2 linked regions of the Drosophila melanogaster genome follow. The protein of the gene in region 1 interacts with the protein of each later gene in a pairwise test. Each region holds a gene or a part of one and is shown on either strand. Other genes may lie near its edges.

Region 1 (7,900 bases):
TTCGCGCTTGTCAATTGACTTGACGCCTGTGGAGAATAAATCAGCTATTAATAGGCTTCAATCGATATGAGTAAAGAGGATTTTCGGGAAAATGTTTGCCGTATAAGACAAATTAAAAGTTTAACCAAACGAATTTTATATTTTCGGTAACGAATTAATAAATTAATAAATTATAAGATCAAAAATCAAAAAAATCAAACAAAAAAATGTCCAAGAAAACACATGTGTGAACACACGAGTTTGCAACGCAGTAATTTCATTATTTCATCATTTAAAATTAATATTTACAAACACGTTTTCAAACGTTTTGCGTATTACAAATGCCTAAAAGTCACGTGAGAAATACGCGATATGTAATCAATCTTGTTGCCAAGGGTTGCGTTTTCTCTATATTTTGCAGCATGCCGCCATTACAGGGCAGCATTTTCCACGCAGAAAAAACGGATTCACTTGAGAAGCAAACACGAAAACCAAGGACAGAAGAATCTAGACATAATTACCAGTTCTATCGGATCCCGACTGGCGATCGAACTCGCGCTTTCCGAACTTCTCGCCGGTACGGACGCGTGGTGGTCCCCTGTTGTCACGATTGTTGAATTGACGCTGCGGCAACTCGTTTCCGAATTCTCCGTTCGACTCCTTATTTCCGTAGCGTTGGTTGTTGTTGAACCTGCCCTGGTTGTTGGCACCGTTTGCTGTTGGGTTCTTGGGACGACCCACATCCCCGCCAGCGGGACCCTTGCCGCCTTTCACTGGACTAGCGTTTTTAGCCACCGGAGCGTTGGCCTTGCGGGCAGCCACAACCGGCTTGTTCTCCTTCTCCGACTTGCTCTTTGGTGCCTTTGGCGCCTTTGCCGGTTCCGGCTTCTTGGGCGCCGCGACTACAGCGGCAATCTGTGGCTGTGCGAGCCCAGAGGAGTCATCGTCGTCCATGAACAACAGCTCGTAGCGGTTATTTCCAGAATTGTCCATGATGTAAAATTTCTACGGATTAAAATTGAACCAGATTTGAGAGTTACTTTGGTCCCAATGGCGACGATATGCTTTGCTGTTAACTTATAGGCACATGGCCGGCCTAGAGTTCAAACAAAGTGATAATCGCTTAAAATTGCGAAAACGCGGAGCAACTTACGCACCACGCCGGAAACGAAAGTGAAGGTAGAAACATCGATTGCAGGAAACATAAGGGCCACGATATGTTTCTCCGCTAATTGCATTTCGACAATCGATAGTTGCCGGTTCAATATCAGTATATATCTGTAAAAATTAAAATATATAATTTATATTTTCTGAACAATGGTTGGTTTTTGAAAAGGGATTTGATAATTTACAGCCTTAAATAAACCATATATGTATATTTACAATAATTTAGGAAAAGTTATACCTTAAAAATGTATAACAAATTTAAACTATTTTGAAGGTGTTGCAATTTTATTAATATAACCAAATATTATTATAAATGTTTAACCGATAGATACCAAATGGTGAGTAACGAGCAACTGTACAGAATAATGGTAATTATCGATTGTTTTGAAATAACGTAAAATGTGAATGGTAATTATTGATTTCCATATTTATAATAATTCACTCTATATCAAAAAATTTCACATTATATTTAAATTTCCATTTCATAAATAATACCGAAATGTACTCAATCGATTAATCGATTGCAGGTAGAGGTCACTACCAGCTCTAGCAGTCGGCCCATCGCCAGAAGGAGAACAACTTTTGGGCCCGTAGAGACAAATGTGACATTTGTTTCTTTGATGCGTTGCCATCGAAATTCTCTGTCCTCTTCGGCCTGATGCAAGTAATAAATTTAAGTAAAGGCAAATTATCCTTGTAATTGAAAGCGAGTCCATCGTGAATTGTGGCCATTGCGTACCGAACCGCGAGAGAGCAGACGAGCGAAGCAGCGACTGTCATCGAATTGGAATATTGGAAGCGACGAAGAGGAGAGGGATATCGAGCACCCAATAGCCCCCATCCACATTTACGTCCAACGGGCCCCCAAGTATTTGCAAGTGGTTAGAGGGCCGCGTTTGCGTTTCGCCGGTGAGTCCTCAAATAAGATACAATCCACACATATCCATTTCGATAATATTCATAAGTTATTCATAAGGCTAAGTCTAAGTGTGTGTGTTTCAGTTGGTTTCCCCATTTCCTCATGTGAACGCGGGACATGCATAAACAAAAAAATCAATATCTTCGCCTGCTATATGCAGTTCTTGTGAATTTCGTTTGTTTGTTTTTTTTTTTTTTGGAGCTTGGGGATTTTACTGTTCTCTAAATGGATTTTACCTTGACCTCTTCAGCTGCGCAAAACTGGCTTTGGCAGGCATGTTTTTGAAAGTTTTTAAGTGAGAAAACCAATTTGCTTTAAAAACTTGCCAAAAATATCGTGATGTCATTTACGGACTTTTTTGTTCTACCTTTTTTGGAGCTGTGTCGCGCAGAAATCGACAATATTATCATATTCGGTCAGGCAATGCGGCTCCTATTGCTTTTATGCATATGTCGACTTTTGGTTTTTATCCGAGTTTTCCAGGGGTGGTTCTACCCCTTCTCATAGATAACGTCTGGCCTAACTGTTACTTTTGCACCCTCAGTAGGTATGTTCCTTATATGGTAGCGTATCACAAATGGAAACAAGTGATGTGAAACATTTCATACACTTGGTAGAAATGTAGCATGGATCTTGGATTTCCGGCTGTAAAAGAAGGATACATTCACATAAAACCTTCTACTCAGCAAAAAAAGGGGCTTGTTCTGCAAAAAAAGCAGTTGACTAATCTCAGGCATCAGCAAGAATTATGCCCTTTGGACAGGTACTTTTTAAAGAATGTGTATTTAATTACAAATACAAAGCTGATTTACTATATATGAGTAATTTAACATCATTATCGATTTCAACTTTTTATGAAAGTGGAGTCAAGATGCGAGTTTACCATATCGAATGAATTTTAAAAAGCATCTATTTGCTGATCTAAAAAAGAAAATATTAACTTTTTAATATGCGACATTTATATTTTTGTTTTACCCGCATAGTATGCTAAATTCAAGCAAAGGCAACAGAAACCCTGCTTTTTGACTACATAACGCTTCAATTAAGTTCAATGCTTTTCATAACCGAGTTAAGGAGCTGACATTGTATTTCAATAAGTTCCACTAGTTATGGCATAGTCCTCTTTTGCTGGGTCATAATTTTAGCGCATGTAGTCATATAATTGTATTGCCGAAAGAAATAGACGTCATGAAAGGCCAGGACTGTATAATTCCTATAAATGTAATCGCATATTCCTAAATTTTTACCGACTTTTCTAATTTGAACTGTATGCCGTAGTCTAAGAAATTTAGTATTTACTGATTTCGTAGATCAATAGAAAATCAGCTTAATAGAGTAAGACTAACTTTTTGTTATTACTGCTTAAATTCTATATAAAAAACATTTTTTCCTTCAATTTTATAGCATCTCAATATCTGAAATCAAAAGAAAAATCAAATTTGTATCAAAACCGAAAGAAAAATTAACTTTCTCCGAGCCACATGAAAACTGTTTAATGTTTAAAGGTATTACAACCACAAAATGAATACCAAAAACATTGAAAACAAACCCATGGATGGGACCAAATTTCTTGATATGTTGTCAAAAATATCATTGGAGGAAATATTACAACTTGAATTCCGTAACAATCCAACTAGCAAATGGGAAACATTGGTAACCCCCTCATACCCGCTTCGGAAATACAATTGTAATATTTGCCGTGTTGTTCAGTTCGGCGACAAAAATTTGTTTAGCCACCTTAGTGGTAAAAAACATATTGCCGTAATGAAACTCAAAGAGCAATTGCAAATAAGAAACAAGCCCAGTGTAGCTCCACCCACAAAAAAGGGCCCTAACACCAATGCGAATAATAACAAAAACAGTCAATCTCCTGCTGTTAAAAATTTGCCAATTATAAACAAAAATGTACCAAATCAAAATAATAATGCAAACACTAACGTTGTTAAGCAGGCAGCTGGAAATGAAGTTGCAAAAACACAGCCGACGCAAAATAAAAAACCTGCAATGGGCGGTAAAACGAAAAGCACTGCTACCCCTAAGGTAGTAAATAATCCAAACACTCAAAAAAATATTCAGAATAGCACAACAAACATTCAAAAGAATGTGCCAGAAAACAGTCCACCCAATCAAAAGAATACATCAGTAAATAATACGCCTGTTAAGAAAAACACAGGGAATAATGCACCCGTACAAACGAGTGTTCCTATTATTGGCGCAAACGCGAAGAAAAGACCTAACCCAAACCCGGGAAATATTCAAGCCAAGAAGGCAAATGTGAATGCGGCCAACGCAAATAACACTGCTAATAAAAAGGCTCCACAGTCTGCAATGAATACAGCGAAAACTTCACAGAATTCTGGAGGTCCTGCTCCAAAAACTACTGTGAGCAATACTACTTCTCAGCAAGCAGTAAATGTTCAGATTGAAAAGCAACCATTAGAGCAAACAAAGCCAACTGTTCAAATTCCCTCACAGACTCCATCAAAGCCACAGTCGACGAAAGCTGTGCAGAATGCTAAATCGAATAACGCGGACTTGGCTCGCAGCAAAACGACTGATCCAGATATAGTCAAAAATCCGCTTGCCACGAAAATATCTTGTGTTCCGCTAGCCAAGCTTATAAACTCTACACCAGAGCGCGAGAAAGATCTCGTAATCATTGACGATTTGCCAAAAGAGGCTACAAAACCGCCAGAAACACCGAAAAAACCCATTCCAGTTCAAACGTCAAACCCGAAGCCTGTTATTGCGGCCAAGAAGCCAATCAATGTTGTTGCACAACCTGTGCGCCCTACTATCAATAAGGTAGTTAAGCCTTCATATGTTGCACCCAAGGATTACACAACAGCTAGACCTGGTGGCACATTTGAATCCAGGAAAGGTCATGTCATGGGTCTCGTTGGGGTAGAGTACGTTTTGAAAATAGTTAAGACCTTGGCTGACAACAATGCCAGATATCAATGTTGCCTCTGCGAGATCACTGCTGATGAGCAATCCATGCACAACCATTTGCTTGGCTATAACCACCGTTTAAAGTATTTTGACAAGCATTTCCCCACTGCAATGCGTCTGTACCGTCAGTATGTGTCCCATGTTCCGGAGAGCGAGGTGTGCAAAATAATGATGCCCATTTTTGATAAGCTTGCACATGCCATTGAAACGCACCATGGTCGAAAAAACGCCCATCTGTGCTATGAACATGTCTATTCGAAAGATCGCCAGAGTTTGTTCACCCAGGTATACAATAGAAAGCACTCGTCTGAAAAGATTGGGCCTTTGTTCACCCACGTCGTAGATGCTAAAGAGGTGGAGGAGTTGATCGACAAGATTAGAACCAACGTTCAGCCCTTGATAAACGTTGAAAATTCGAATCCTTACTACGTCCCTCCATACGTACCACAGTATGCGGGCTATCAGAATGTGCCCCAAAATAATACAGCACCCCCTATTGATGATGAAACTCACAAGCGAATGGTCGATAATTTTCTTAGGGACACCAGACATGGTTCGGGCGATGCACAGAAGTCCCGGAACGCAAAGCGGAACCGCTCAAGATCCAAATCACCTGATCAAAGAAAGAGGGTCGCCCCCAAAAGGCACTGGAATGTGGAGCGTAGGTCAGTGTCGCCTTTGCGCGATGGCGACATTTGGCAGGCGTACCGTCACATGGTAGATCTCAAGGTGCGTGAGCTAAACGTGTCCTTCGACACATACAAATCTGATCCCGAACAGCATCCGAGTTATCAAGCTGAGTGGCAAATGTTTTGGAAGCGCCGCAAGGATGAGCTTATACTGGCTGGCATTAATCATCGCACGTACAACTTCCAAAACGAATGGATTAATTTCTTTAATGCTCGTATCGAAGAATTGTACAGTCAAGATATTGAAAATATCAAAATAAAGTGTCGCGAACGGCTATGTCTGCCAATGACCAATAACGAATTGGAGGACGAAAAGTATCACGTTCATTTGGACAAAACTGATGAGCCCGATGATGAGCGCAGACCGGAATCTAGCATTGAACCGCAGAAAGTGTCTGTTGATGTAGAGACTCCGGTTGAGGAGCCGCCGAATGTGATTCATGTCCTTCGTCTTTTAACTGCTTTGGAGAATTATCTCGGAAGTCTGGGTCCTTTTGTTACCGAGATGCTAGTAAAAGCTCTGCAATCGCAGAAGATTTGTCCACAAAAGTTGCATACTTCAATTTTAACAGCCGAAAACTGTGCTATTTTGGAGACCGTTAAAGAAAAATTTACTGGTCTCTTGATCTCCCATATTTATGATCCCGCTAAAGAAAGGGCTTTGAAGAGAGCTATTAATGACACCGAACGGTTGCTTCAATGTGCCAGTAAACTTAACAAATCCAAAGATATAGAGCAGCTCGCTGAGAAACCAGAGTTGCAGATAGCCAAAAACTTACCGCATAACCTCGATAAACCATTAGATAAAACTGAGCTTGCGGCAAAACTGGCTTCTTCATTGGTGTCCCAAGGCAAAACATCTATAAACCGAGAGGAACTTCAAAAGATACTTCAGGTATATACGATGATTGAGCAGAAGAAACGCCAGGACATCCCACTCTCAACCAGTTCCGTGAATTCAGTGCCCAGCACTTCTACTAACTTGATTCCCAATTCCAATAACAATGATAATTTGTTGACACAACATTCATCCAGAAATTTAAACAACAATCCGACCAGTGAGTATACTGGTCAAAACTACTCCGGAAATGTGGCTCGATTTAACAACCAACAAAGCACTAACTTAGCTAACCCCTTCACTTCGAACGCGTATCCGACTGATCGTGGATTTGGCGGATCCGGCGGATATAATAGTCAATTCGGCTCTAAACTACCGGCAATCAACCCAAGCAGCGTTTTGCGAAACGATCTGACAACGTCGTCACTCTTCAACTTCAACACCAATTTGAACCCATCTTATAACAACCTTAACCGGAGGAATAATAATTTTTAATAGATAGTTCGTAATGCGGTTAGATTGATAAAGAGAACATACATTAAACCCACAATAATGTATTACATTTTCGAATTAGCTACATTCTTCAAAAATTTGTACAACATTTGAGAAATGGAATGTAAATAAATCGATTTTATAACGGCAGCCAATTGTTGTTAATTAATTTAGAAAAGGAAGAAGTTAGTTTAAGTATATATTAATTAGTTATCAATTAATTGTTTTTGAAATATAATATTGATAACTTTTTATATTTAGATTTTAGTGCATAAATTTTTGATTGCGTGTAAATATATAAATTATTTTCATAAAATAAATTGTATATTCAGAAAATGTAAGAATAAAATAATATGGAACCTAAAAAATTTGATTACCTGGAAACCAGATAACACATTTTCTTAAGTCATGTCCACTTAAATGGAAAGATGATTAATAAGAACTGTGTGTCTGGTGGAGAGGTCTATTATTTTATAATAGAATAGTAAGCACAAACGAACAGCGCATGGATCATCTAAGTACACTTTATTCCGCACATCAGGATGGACGCCATACTAGCATGTTACACCGTTTAAATAGGTTCAATAGATCTAGAACCTAGTCGTGAATCTAGAATATCCTAGCTTCCAGACAAACATGCGGTATGGATGCACACACTCAATTACTCCATGGAAAAGTGACAAAGAACACTCCGATTGATAACCCTCCGTGCTTAGCACTTCCAAAATGTTGACCATCTCGACGTTGGAAAGTTATCGCCTAAAAACAACTGCAAATCGATGGAAAACCCGTAGTTTTCCCTAAATAGCTTCTCTACTTATATTTAGATCAATCTATCTTTATATAGGCAAAACAAACCACCTG
Region 2 (5,237 bases), on another chromosome or scaffold:
CGGCTCAGCTTATTTCGGTAAAGTTCAATTCGTTCGTTGAACCAACTCTCAAGACTCAAAGCACAAGGGACTAGTAATCCCCTTCCACCTCTCTGTGAGAGCTTCATCGTCATTGGCTAATTAGAAGTCTTTAAGTAATTAAAATGTTCCAATGGGTGACTTGACATGATGAACCAATAGCTATTATTTGGTGCGCTTATACGAAACACTAATTCCGCAGACAATAATGTTTGCAAATACTTGTTCGTTCTTAATTTGCAGCCTTTGCTGTTAAATACGAACTTATTTAATGATATTTAACTTACATATAGGCGTTCTTATTGCCTACACTATATGCAATTTTTCTCAGAAGTATGCAATGTAGTGAAGGTATATTCTTGATCAGCAAAAACAGCCGAGCTTATATAGTCAGTTTGCCTGCTTGTTCCTACGCCAAATACTCTCTCAGATTTAAGGCTATAAGCTATTAAAGCATTAACTTTTCCCGAAAATATTCTTTCTATTGTATTTAGTATATACGTAAATATGTCGAAACGAATCGGACTCATTAATAAAAAAAATGTCATAGAAATAAAATGGAAACAATATATATATTTTCTCATTAACCGTCATTGTTGATCTATAGTATTTGGGACTCAACATGAAAGGTGTAACCGAAAATTCATTGTGTTATGAGGTATTGCTGATTGTATAACTGAGGTAATGATGTCTTATAGACGGCTATGAGGGTATATATAGTCGATATACACGAATAATGAATACGTTCTTGTTTTATTCATATATAAAATAAGATTCGTAACTGGTTTGTACTTGAAAATAAAATACTATCGAGACATATTTTTTATCCATATCTTCTGGAGGCTATGATATGATTATTTGTATACAAAGGACCAATTTTGCGCATACAACTAGACAACATACCCTTACCAAATCTAATATTGTACTCACTTGAGGTCCTTATGAAAAGTTGAATCCTTAAGCCATTCGACGATTGAAATGAAGATCCTTCAAATAAGGGCGTTCGATTTCTCCTTGCTGTTTTTGTTTTTGCACTTATGTATGTTTGCGAGCGTTTAGACTTGGAGTAAGTTGGGTTATTAGCTAGTTCAATCGTGAATTACTTTAAGTTAGCGGCGATAGTTTGTACTATGTTATGTTTAACTTTAGGCTTAAATATTATAGGAACTTTTGAATCGAGCGCTCGTGGATTTGGGCGAGATAATTAGCCTGCGGCACCTAAAGAGTAATTTTGTGAACAATTTTATTATTATTTTCACCTGAAATATTTAGCTATTACAAGTTAGTGTTATACATTCGAATTGTGCAAAGTTCTTCAGACATTGGTATATTTTATATATAAATTATTGGTTACATATTTTACTGACCCTCAAATACGGTCTCTCTCAATAGGGTTTGCGGTTTTGATTTTGCATTTATGTGAAGCCATCAACTTGAGACAGGTGGTCAATAGACAGGATGTTAGGGAGAAGCCGGCAGGCAACAGCAAGGCTTAAAAAGAACCCAATTAAGTAAAAACCCTGATGTGCCAGTTTATGTACATATGTATACAGGTGTATGCGGGTGAAATTGCCGTGACCAGTGGCAGGTGACAGTCGAAAGGTGATCGACCCACAGCAGTCAGTTGGCAACACAAAAGTAGTTTTGCCAAGGACTTTACCACTTTATCACTGTACATACATATATGGCTCCAGTTTTTTGAAAGAATGATTGTACTAAAGACCAAATAAAAGAAATTCACAATGGCTTGAAAAGACATTAACTTTCACACAAAATCTTTTTTTTATATAGAACGAACGGGTGCTGAAAACTATGTTAAATGTCTTTTTTTCTTACACTTGTAATTATATCTGCAATGTGTGCAAATTTCAAGAGAGCAAATCGAGCGAATTGGATGAGTGCAAGGAGAGTGTGTTCGCGCGCGTTACGCCCCTTGATTTAATTTGCCAACTTCTTGGGATTTTGCATTTTAATATAAACACTTTTACTCCTAGTTGGCTGCTTATATCGCAAGCGAGACAGTTGTCTCTTTTTTATACACACATTTTCACACACGCACAGTCACAAGCACAATCACAAGTGGGAAGTTCTGCTTCCTTTCCCTCCCATCACTTGCCATCCGCCCACCCCAGTGCAGACACCGCGACGAAGAGGGGAGAGCTATCAAGACCAAGACAGAGACAGAAATAGACACACAGCGTTTTTGCATATACTTCTCTCGTGGACCACGTGCTCATTAAATCGCTGAAGGCAATTCATAGAGAACATCCAACAACCGACTAGCGCGGCACAGCACCCTTTCCTGTGCCTGTGGTGTGCTCTTTTCAGCTTCTTTCCTTCCTGCGACTTCCGTTCGCACACCCTCGTTGCTCTCAGCTCAAGGCAGCTCGGCTTTACTCGGCTGGGATCGTTTGGCACATAATGCAATTAAAAATAAAAAACTATTCCCGGACGGAATCCGTTTTCGATAGCTTCGATACATCAAACAAAATAGTGCAGGATTGTCCTCATTGGAAGTGGAATGAAACTCTGCTTTTGTCTACGGATTGAAGTTTTTGTTGCTAGGGACCAGAACTCCAATACCAATGCACCTCACACATAAGGATAAGGGTGAGTGTATTGTTTTCTGCTCGGAACTGCACCGTTAGCATGCACCCATATTTCCGACTGATTTAAACATGTAGCAGAAGCGAACTGAATATTTTACGAAGAAGTGCCGCAGAATTGTTCCGGCATGGTTGTTATTTACTCTAATCGAATGTATCCATTTGCAGGTATGGGCAGGAAGTTGGGCTGATCTCGCAATGCATTTTTTTGAAACTGGTCGAAAGGTTCACGGTGTTCTTCATTCTTGCCATTATAGGTTTTTTTTGTGATACTCTGTTCGACACAACGCAAAAGTAAAAAGTAAATATAAAACTCAAGTAGACGCCGTATAACAACGCGCACCCATATCGAACTTTACATAGATATCACTATTCGCAGAATTGGGATTGGGCTAGCAGTGAATGATTGATTACAGAGGTAACACATTTCAGATTGCAGTTAGTTTCACTCTTTGGTTGTTTTTTACTATGTCACTTTTTATGTTTTAGCGCATTTAACCAGCGAATAGTCACAGTCACATTTAGTCTCACAGTCACGCCAACGGCAAATATATCATAATGAAGATCTACAGCGAAACCGCATCTTTGAGAGCTCTAAAACTCACCATCCGACCCGCATCTGACTCATTCAACGTTTTTTTTCGACTGAGCTGAGAGGCAGGCTTACTTGTTTACTTGCTGGTTAATGCTCTCCGGGGCTCTCGAGCTCTGCTCTCCTCTTCTTTATTCTCCGAAAGTCCGACCGAGCCGAACAGAATCGAGTCATGCGTACAAATCAACATTCAAGAGAGACACTGAGAGACTTTGGGAGATTTCCGTAATGGGGTAATTATTGCCACGCAGAGTGGTAATTACGTTAGAGCGAGACGGGAGATGATGTGATAAAACGGTGTACCAATGTGCTTTATGCTTTCACAGCGAGCCTCTCTTTTCCTTATTTAATTTCTGCCTGTTGTTATGCATGTGTGTGTGCCTTTGTTTTGTGTGGGTGCAGCTTGGGCAATCATCTTTCATTATTTTTGTATTACTGCCGACGGATGTTAAAAGATCCAACACGGCAAGTTCCACATCCCATTGTCTGCAGAATGATCAGAAATATTATAGTAATTAAACTGGTACAAAACTATCACAATGTCTCTTTTGAACCGAAATACCTACAGGCAAGCATCGTGGACTCAACATTTAAAAGTAGATCCTTTGTTTTCCCAATAACTACTCAATATTTGTATTCGGAGATATCAAAAATATCTATAAATACAAAAATATATGTATAATATTATTCGTATCACATTGTCATTAAATAAAATTTTTTGAATGTGCAAACCGATTAAGCTTTTCCCAATATTATGTGTGTAATATTTTTTATGTTCGCTATAGTAGAATGTATGCGACCCGAGATGATCTTGAATATGCTTACTTACATATGTATTTAGGATCACTAGCAGAGCCGATCAGGCACGTCCGTTATGAATTATGAAACCTTGAGTTCTTTTTAACATTTTTCTGGACCAAAAGAGAATGTTTATACTTCCGCGACATGTCTTGCGTAAATATTGTACAATATTTGTAAAATATCATGCGTACATGCGTACTATTCCACCGGAATAGTCAAAAAATGCATGTTAAAATGTTTCTTCGTTGAACAAACCACTCGAATCATTAAAAAATAATTGAAAATTTTTTTTATGAAGAATTTTTTAAGCTTAAGAGTGCAAACGAGAAAGTTCAACATTTTTAGGACTATCGATAGAATCGATCAGAAAGACAAAATAAATCGAAAAGTTTGTGCATGGCAGTTTTGGGCATTAGAGTGGGCGTATTTATGATACGTCTCTGGAATGTATCTGGAATCTGAATGTTTAATAATCGAGGCGTTCATACGGACAGACGGATTCATACGGATCGAATCTAGTTATCCTGGTCAAGAATATATATATACTTTTAGGGTTTTTTTTCATCGAATCTGGTACCCTATTATAACTTTTGATCGATGCGTACATGCATGCATGCGCTGCATTCTTCTTTCTCTTTTATCTTTTACAGTTTCCGAGATATCGGTGTTAATACGGACAATCGGACCTTTTAAGTGATCCTGCGCTTATATATGCTTATAGGGTCAAGTTTCTACATCTACATCATTTAATCTTTTATTTATTAATTAAAATATTTTGTTGAAAGTGTGTTTGTAATATAATATATAAAAAATATAAAAAATATATTTTGCATATGCATTACATATGCGATGATATTAAATTTGTCATATGGGTTAATACACGGGTTAATATTTATTATAGAGTGGTGCAAATGTCCCGGTGTCGGTGGATCCTATCAACTACAAATCAGTCAGCTAGGGGAAAAGCGAACGGAAAATTTCAACAGTTTTTGGCATTGGGAAATAAAAAAAGAAAAATTTTAAATTGTTCAAAGGCATGGTCGCGACCGTTATGGGGAGAAATCAAAAAATAAAAATATATTTTTCAAAACTGTGGGCGTGGCAGTTTTGGGCGGTTTGTGGACGTTAGAGTGACCGTGGCAACAAGCTCGCACTGCGTCTATGTCTCTAGAAACTGTATATTTAATCTCAACCTTATTGCTTTTATAATCCCTAAGATC

What was found.
Region 2: the proteins of CG31510 (region 1) and zfh2 interact in a two-hybrid assay, tested with the Drosophila melanogaster proteins (one large-scale study listed by BioGRID).

The regions. Positions count from the first base shown.
Region 1 is NT_033777.3:25,116,716-25,124,615, reverse strand, and holds CG31510 (uncharacterized protein), read left to right. Parts: upstream 1-1,695; 5' UTR 1,696-2,055; intron 2,056-3,469; 5' UTR 3,470-3,586; coding exon 3,587-7,039; 3' UTR 7,040-7,398; downstream 7,399-7,900. Other genes in the region: vig2, read right to left, coding at 1-26, 501-984, 1,137-1,217.
Region 2 is NC_004353.4:499,850-505,086, reverse strand, and holds the start of zfh2 (Zn finger homeodomain 2), read right to left. Parts: upstream 3,278-5,237; 5' UTR 3,230-3,277; intron 1,237-3,229; 5' UTR 949-1,236; intron 1-948.